Linked DNA regions of Cricetulus griseus. The protein of the gene in region 2 interacts with the protein of the main gene of each other region in a pairwise test. Links are inferred from orthologs where the notes say so. Each region holds a gene or a part of one and is shown on either strand. Other genes may lie near its edges.

What was found.
Region 1: the proteins of E3 ubiquitin-protein ligase TRIM32 (region 2) and Scgb1a1 interact in binary tests that used the Homo sapiens proteins (3 or more experiments, as listed by UniProt). The two-hybrid records come from large-scale screens. The link is inferred for Cricetulus griseus from reciprocal best matches to the Homo sapiens genes TRIM32 and SCGB1A1.

The regions. Positions count from the first base shown.
Region 1 is NC_048596.1:51,011,227-51,015,411, reverse strand, and holds the start of Scgb1a1 (uteroglobin), read right to left. Parts: upstream 2,801-4,185; coding exon 2,746-2,800; intron 729-2,745; coding exon 541-728; intron 1-540. UniProt on the Homo sapiens protein: Binds phosphatidylcholine, phosphatidylinositol, polychlorinated biphenyls (PCB) and weakly progesterone, potent inhibitor of phospholipase A2.
Region 2 is NC_048595.1:80,217,887-80,222,009, reverse strand, and holds the start of E3 ubiquitin-protein ligase TRIM32, read left to right. Parts: upstream 1-1,323; 5' UTR 1,324-1,387; intron 1,388-4,123. UniProt on the Homo sapiens protein: E3 ubiquitin ligase that plays a role in various biological processes including neural stem cell differentiation, innate immunity, inflammatory resonse and autophagy.

The sequences.
Region 1 (4,185 bases), on a different chromosome or scaffold from region 2:
AAATGACTTAGCTATAAATGCTCCTGCCATCAAAGCTGACCACCTGAGTTTAATCCACAGGACCCACATGGTGGAAGGAGAGAACCAATTCCTTAAAGACTGTCCTCTGACCTTCATGTGTGTGCGTGTGTGTGTGTGTGTGTGTGTGTGTGTGTGCGTGTGCGTGTGCGTGTGTGCACGTGCGTGCATGCGTGCGTGCGTGCGTGCGTGCGTGCGTGCGTGCGTGCGTGCGTGCGTGTGTGTGTGTGTGTGTGTGTGTGTGTGCGTGTGTGTGTGTGTGTGAGCTGGTATAGTCCCAGCTACTCAGGAGGCTGAGGAAGGAAGAACACTTGACCCCAGGAGTTTTAGGACAGTGAGGCTAGCTCAGAGAGAACCCCCCACCCAAAACAAACACACACACACACACACACACACACACACGCACAAGAAGGCGGCAAGGGACATGACAGGGATATCCATTAGCCTTGTAACTCCCCAAATAGTATGAAACTGTAGTTGGGGAACCATTTAGAAGCAACGTGAGTGACGGACGTTCCATACCGAGAGTTTCATGATGTTCATTCTGGTCTTCTGGGGGAGGGTGTCCACCAGCTTCTTCAACTGGATCCCTGAGTTTTGCAGGTCTGAGCCAGGGTTGTAAAACTTCAGGGCTGCCTCATAACTGGACTCTGAGCCCATGAAGAGGAACTCAAGGACTTGAAAAAATCCTGGGCAGGTGTCTGAAGAAGCTGGGGTGCGGGCAAAAGAAAGCACATGGACCAGCTTCTCTAAAAGCTGGCCAGCACCCTGCTGGACCAGTCAGTCTGGTCAGCAAGACATAGCAGCCTTTGGGTGATGGAACAGAATGGTGGGGCTCCAAGTGTGGAAATCTGGTACCATGTGAACACTTTCTAGGTTACAGCCAGCTTTTGCCTTTCCTGAGCCGCCTTTCCGTTCCTGACTTGGGTTGGCCACGGTTTTTGTCATCTTTCTAGACACAGTGGGTAACAGAAGCTGCCAGCCTGGCTGTTTGCTGCAGCATGGGGACTGGGAGGAGGCCTCTGGGAGCCTTGCTTTCTATCAGAATGCTCCTACCCACAGCTAGTGGTGGTCTGTGCCATGAGTTACTGAGGGCGTACGGCACAGCCCTTATGCGAATCCAGCGTGGTCCCCAAACCTGGCCTGGAAGATGGAAGCACATATGTATTCTAGTCTGATGGCACAGTCAGTTTGCAGACAAGCCTCTCATCTCACCATGTTCCCTGCAAGGGGGTGCTGTTTGGATTGTGCTATCTCCTGGGATTTCCTACCCTGTTTGCCTCCATCTTCTAACCTAGCCTCAGATTTCCTGCCCTGGAATTCTCTGCATTGTGTGCAAATTTGGCCTCACTGCTTTGACTCAGGACCTGACCCCTATTCCAGTGGCCACTCCAGTAGCTCACATTTGTTACATAACTCATAGCACTGGGCAGGCTAAGGCAGGATGACTGTGAATTCAGACCAAAATGAGACCCTGTCTCAAAACCAAAACACTGGTCACTCCAACTTAAAACTTTCTCCATAATGTCACCAGGCAGGGTGTTTCATTTTCCAGGGGCTCAGTTTTCTAATCTGTAAAATGGGAACAACATCTCTGCTTCATTGGGTTGTTATGAAAATGAAAGGGATAGTCTGTAAAATGGCTGAGCGCAGTGACTAGCACGTTGTAAGTAGCATTAACTAGTTTTACTGTCAGAGTTTTAATATGTGAACACATTGCTATGCAAATATCTTGCCAGTCCACCCCTTCACATGTTTTAGCCCTGTCTTGCTGAGCCACCCACCTCTGTGCACAGCACCGATATCTAATTAATAAACATTTTAATCCAAAATGATGTCATTTCCCCTGAAAACAAAAAAGTGTTCAATAAAAACAGCCACTCCCATTTTGCCTTGATTTGGGGTCTAAATCTCCTTGGTCATAAAGCCTGTATCCACGGACATTATGAACCTTTTCAAAGACATTAATTAGGGTTTGTTTTTAGGAAAATAATACAGCATTATCAGAGAGGAGAGGGGGAAACTGATGGTGGGAGAAGTTTTCCCAACCTCATTTCCGAAGCACAAAATTTGTGGAGGGAGATAGATTGCCCTTCCCTACCTCCCTCCCTCCCTCCCTTCTTTCCTTCTGTTCCTTCCTCCCTCTTTCATTTCTCACTCCTTTCTTCACAGTGATAGCAACAACTATCCTCAGAGGCCTCTGATCCTTTTTTCCAGAGGACAGAATGTTTAGAAAACTCCACCCAGGATTGGCAGTTTCCCAAAGGGAAGATCTCTTTCTGGAATATTCCTTTCCTCCCAGAGCAAGAGACTTGGCCTTGGGTTAGAGGGCAAGAGTCTCTGTACTTTCCCTTCCAGACTGACTGCCAGAGTTGGGTGGGGACGCCCCCTAACCTGGAGGCTGTTTCAAGAGCTCTTGGCATCTTGAGCCACTGGGCTTCAAAGGGTTCCTTATCCCTACTCCATTTTTGGGTAGATGTACTGGTTTAGATGGGCACTCCTTATCTCCTGTCCAGGCCTCCCTGGTCCCTGCAGTGCCAGGGTTCAGGATTTGGAAGGTGTGATTCTAAACTTTCTAATAGCTCAACACTTCCCCCCAAGATCACAGAATAGTGTTGGTCATCAGACTCAACATTTCTGAGAGTCATCATACCCAGGCCCTCCAGGTAGCCATAGAGGGACTGGCCACTTCCTTCTGTCTTTGGGAGAGGGACCCTGGGCTCTCACCTGAGATGCAGCAGATGGATAGCATGGCAACAGTGATTGTGATGGCAATCTTCATGGTGGAATCTGGGAGTCTTGGCTGTCTCTGGATGTGGGGTGGTATTGTAGTGTGTGTGAGTGTGTGAGGGTATCAGGTGGCCTTTTATATGTTCCAGGAAGCCCATAAGAGGTAGGGGGCAGGGCTTGGGTACCACTTAGGATACTGCATTATTTACTTGGTTACCTTCTCTGTGGAATAAGTAAATAATCTCTTTTCTTAAATCCAGTTTCTGTTCCCATTGAAACTGAGCTCACACAACAAGACACTTTTGGGGTGTCCATGCAGTGGGGGGAGCCCAAGTCAGAGGTTGTGGGGATCTGGACACCTGTGTCCTCTTTTTGAAGTCAAGCACTGGGTACCCCAGGCTCTAGGAAGCAACTGTAGACTTGCCAACCTTGGCAAACCAGAGACTGGCAGCAAAGACCCAGGACTCTAAAATGTCACTGCGCTCCTTCTATTGCCTCCCTCCAAGGAAAGTGGCTTGACTTTTTTTTTTCTTTTCTTTTCTTTTTTTTTTTTTGGTTTTTCAAGACAGGGTTTCTCTGTGTAGCTTTGGAGTGGCTTGACTTTAAGCCACAAAGCTCACTTGATTCTTGGGTGTCATTGGTCAGGTTAGATTCTGTATACAGTAGATGTGGACAAATGAAGACTTCTCCATAGTATACATCAGAGACCTAGGCCCAGATCAGGCTTGGTCTGTTCCTACCCAGCCCCATCCTTCTGATGGCCAGTTGAGGGGCACCTTCAGTCTTTATCTGACTTGACCTCTTCCTGGCCTTTACCCTATAGCCTCCTCCCTTTTGCTCCATTCTCTCCCAGGGCCTCCCACACTCTGCATTTTCCTGTTTTCCTTCCTTGGCTATTCTTTCTTGATGTTGACAGTTCTCAAGTGTTAGTAGTTCCCAGGCTTTAACCTTAGCCTCCTTGCTTCCCATGCTCTCTGTTTACTCTTTTACATCTCCAGTGCTCTTGTTGACTTAGCATGGAACCTCGCTTGGTTGAAATCCACATCTTCTGTCTTTGCTTCCCAGCCTTTCCCATTTCCACAAATCCTATTCAGACTTCCAGGTTGCCTCAAGTGTTCATCCATCCACCCAGTCAATAGATACCCGGTACCCACTATGGTGTGGTGGGGCTGGGAATTGGGGAAGACCTGGAGAGGAGTTTAAAGGGCCCACTCATGATCTTCCTGCCTAGTGGCTGTGAGGAATGTGGATATCTGAGAGCCTTCAGCTTCCAGTAACTGCAGGGTCTGCCCCTGCTACAGAGGTTGCCTTGCTTAAGGTCCCACCTTCCCCAGGGCCATTTGCATCGAATGATACAACAGAAAGGGGATTTAAAGCTGTGAGAATTTTGGTTTGCCTGTTTCCCAGTGACTCTGGGCCATTAGGATGCACTTTTCT
Region 2 (4,123 bases):
CTTTGGGCAAGTCTGTGGGGGCATTTCCCTGATTTATGATTGATATGGGCAGTGCCACCCCTAGGCAGATAGTCCTAGGAGAAAGGTAGGTGACCACAAACCTAATGAGCAAGCTATAAACAGCATTCCTTTGATCTCTGCTTTTGTTCCTGTCTCCAAGTTCCTGGCCTTCATGAGTTTCTGCCTTGGCTTCCCTCAATGATGGTCTGGGATTAGGATGTGTAAAGCAGATAAACCCTGTCCTCTCCAAATTGTTTTTAGCCATGGTCATTGACAGAGCAGTACACAGCAAACTAGAATAGGGCCCAAGCTGCCTTTACACTGTTACTTCTCCTTGCTCATTCTCCCAAGTGCTAGGTTGTCAAGATTGTGCCACTATGCCCAGTTGATTGTAATCTATTTTAACTTAAAGTTAACGTTAATAAAGTGTGAATCACACACAACTTCAATCAATCATCACAACAACCCTTGACTTTACTTAGAGATAAAGAAATAGAAAGATTAAAACAAGGTTAAGGGTGCTTTCTAACAGTGGTATTGAAACCCAGGTTCTGACAGGTTGTTTTGGCATCTAACCCTCAGTTTCTTTATCTCAGGGCTGTTATGAGGGCTGGACTAAGCCTGTAAAGTGCTTAGCTGTAGTTAGTCAGAAAGTGCTCAAAGATATTACTGTTTTTGTTTATTGTCTTAACGTTGTGCTGGGGGCACACAGCTTGGTGGAATTTTAAATATGGAGACATAATATCTTAGATTCCTTCAGACTCCTAACTAGTAATGCGTGTTCACGTCCTGGAGCAGGCATTACCTGTCCCCAAACTATCTGCAGCAAGTCCTGGCTAGTCAGTGGGCCACAAAACCTCCCGCAAGACAAGGTTCAGTGCAGGGCTTTGCCCGTTTCTACCTCGGCTGCTCGCCTCCAGGATACTACTTCCTAAATGCAGTGTGTTCAGTGACTAGGCAGAGGGATGTGTCACAGGCAAAATTACCTAGCTCCAGGACCAGCTCTTTGAAAGGAGTGTGTTGTCTTCCTGAACTGAGGTACAAAGAGGCGTTCCAGCTAGGTGCCCGGACTTTCTGTAGACTACTACTGGGAGATTAGCATTTACTGACCGGGTAAATTTCGACTCTGAGACAGGCAGAAAACTGGATCACACACCGCGGTGTCCTAGGTTTCCAGAGTCACCCCCTACCTCTTCAGCAGGGCCAAGAGCTCTGGGCCCGCGGGCCTACAAGCCCCAGCATGCCTCGGGGAGGCGGAGCACGGTGATGGACAGGCATTCCTGCGAATTGGCACCCGACGTGGGAAGTGCGCGCTGGCGCATGCGCAAAGGGCGGCGGGCGGGTGGGCTGGCTGCGGTGGACTCGCGTCGGAGCCGCGGGCGGTCAGGTAGGGGGAGGGAAGGAGGGTCTGCGACCAGGGACTGTGGTGGGTCGCGGGGCTCCAAGATTGAATGGCAGGATTTGGGGACTGGATCGGAGTGGCAGGACTGGATGGGGGAGGGACGGGCTTGGGAGAGATTCGGTGGGGTTGAGATGCAGCTGGGGGAGGGGAGCAAAGGGGCTGAGGAGATTTGCAGTTGCAGCATCTCGGGAGGTATGAGGTAATGTGGGGGCTGAGCGGAAAGACGGCGTAAAGCATGTGGGAGATCGGGGGTATCTGGAGTCCCTGGAGGGATCTGGGTGCAGAATATCAGAAATAGAAAGGAATTTGGGAGGCATGGATGAGATAGGTTGGGGGTTGGTGGGCAGAAGCTCAGAGGCTTTGAGGAGATGGTGGAATGGGAGCAAGATCTGAGGTCAAAACAGTCAGGGTCTTGGAAAAAATCTAATTGCTGAAGAAAAAGGCAATTCTGTAGTAGAATCTGGGAGAGATTTGAGGGGTGAGTTCCCAAGGAAATCAGTATCCAGTTAGCAAATCGCAAGCAAAGGCTTGAAGGCAACACGTGAGGCAAGACTAGGGTGGGTGAGGGTGGGGGTGGCACTGTGCAAGTCAGGGAGATGCAGATGAGGGCCCGGATTGAAGGAGGCTAGAAATCTGAGGTACAGTGTTGGAGTTTGGAGCTGGCATACAGGAGTGACAGATGTGGAAATTTGAAAATAGATTGAATAAAGGGTGTAACAGGGACCCAAAAGCAATTGGTGAAATGCAAGGTTGCAACATACAGTCTAGAAGGCTGAATTCTAGATTTGGGATTGAGGGTTGGGAATGGGGTTTGTAGAGGATTGAATGGTGGGGACTGAATGTTGTGACTAGATTGTAGTTTGTGAATTGGTTCTTAGGCTACTAAAGGAGGCTTTGTTTGTTTGTTTTTGGTCTCTGCATAATTGAACCCAGAAGGTGTTTGGGAGACCCAGGAACCTGAAAGTAATGTACAAATAAACTATGTATGAATGAATGGAATTTAGGAGAATGCAGAGGTTTGGGAATAAAGTCACGAGTCTTGAGAGATCCTGAAGGAGAGTTTGACATTCTCTGAAGGGCAGAGTCTTCCTTGTACTAAAAGCCCTTTGATCCTGAGACAGACATAGCATTCTCACTGACACTGACTAGCTTAACCTACTCCACGCAGACCTAACATTATAGGCCTTGTGGAAGAAGAGAGGGAGAGGAAGGGAATGAAGCCAGAAACTACCCAAGGTCTTCTGCTATCTGTCCCTTTCCCTGTGCCCCCAAGCTGTAAGAGATGTTTAAGCCCTCCAAGGTATTGAGTCAAATGATCTTGAACCTGACTTTATCTTATTTTAGAAGACCAGCTATGGCACAAAGAGGTAGTGGTTCTGTAAATGAAGTGTTAGGGCTGGGAGAGAAACAAAACAATGTCTGGGGAGCAAGGGAGAGCCTCACATGTGCTGAATATTTAGCCTAACTATGTCATAATCTAAAGCCTTGGTTCTCAGTCAGGGGTGATTTTCTTCTGCCAGAAAACATTTGACAGTGTCTGGATGGGTGCATTGTCCCATCCAGTTGAGGGGGGTGTGGCGGTTGTTAGTTTCTAGATAACAACCCCAACAGTTACCTAGCCAGAAATGCAAATGGAGGGACCTGGCTTCAGAGTCAGATATTCTGAGTTCGAATCCTGGCTCTTTCTCTTCCTGCTTTAGTCTTTAAAGAGTGACTTGACCTCTCAGTGCACTAGCTTTTTTGGGATCTACATCATAAGATTGTTGTGAGGACCAGTGAAATCAATCAGGGGGCTTACTGTCTAGTGCTCAGTAGGTGCTCAGAGTGTACTCCTGTAAAAACTAATAACAGTCCTGCTAAATATGCTTTATTATGTCCTGTGTTGCACATGAAACTAAGGCTTAGGAGGTCACCTGTCCAAGGCCATATAACTAAAAATGGCAAAAGTAAACTGACGTGTGGATACCCACCACAGTATATATCCTCCTTACTTGCTTCTTTGCTACAGCCTGCTTTGTCTTCCCCTTTCAGCCTTTTCTGATGAAAAGGAAGATTGCCCAGCATTCTAAAGCAGTGTGTTTCTTCTTGATCAGGAGAAACCCTGGGCACCCTGTTCTTGGCTTGCTCTTAGACCAGAACCAGTGGAGAGATAATGGAAGGGGCTTGGAGCTAGGCAAGGTGAGGTGTAAGGAGCTACAAACTGAGATGAAGAGGCCACTGGCTTGATAGAATGCCTCAGCGGGGCCTCAGGCTGAAGGCAGTCATGGACTGAAGGAGAGTTGCTACTACTCTGAATGGCCTCTTTTGTGTGTCTAGTCTCTGGAACAAAAGAGTAGTATTGTCTTTATCAGCTCCAAACCCAGCTACAACATTACTGAAGCCGGCTTTAAAAACAAAATTAGACTGGAGCTGAGGGCAGAAGACTTAACTGGATATTAGCACACATCACTTAGGAAAATACCTGATAGGGATTGAGTTAGCCTTGGAATCAGCTTTTTTACTGCTTGCTTGTTGGTGGTCCAGCATGTGTCAGCCTCTGTCCAAAAGCAGTCAGCTACATTGAGTGCTGACAAGCTAGACGTGATTCCTTATTTTATAGGTCAGAATGTTAAAAAGTTAAGTGACATATCTTCGTAAACTACAGAGCAAATGGTTAATCTGGCATGTAAACTCAGTTCTATTTGACTCCTAACTTCTACAATTCTAGTTTTAGAGATCTTC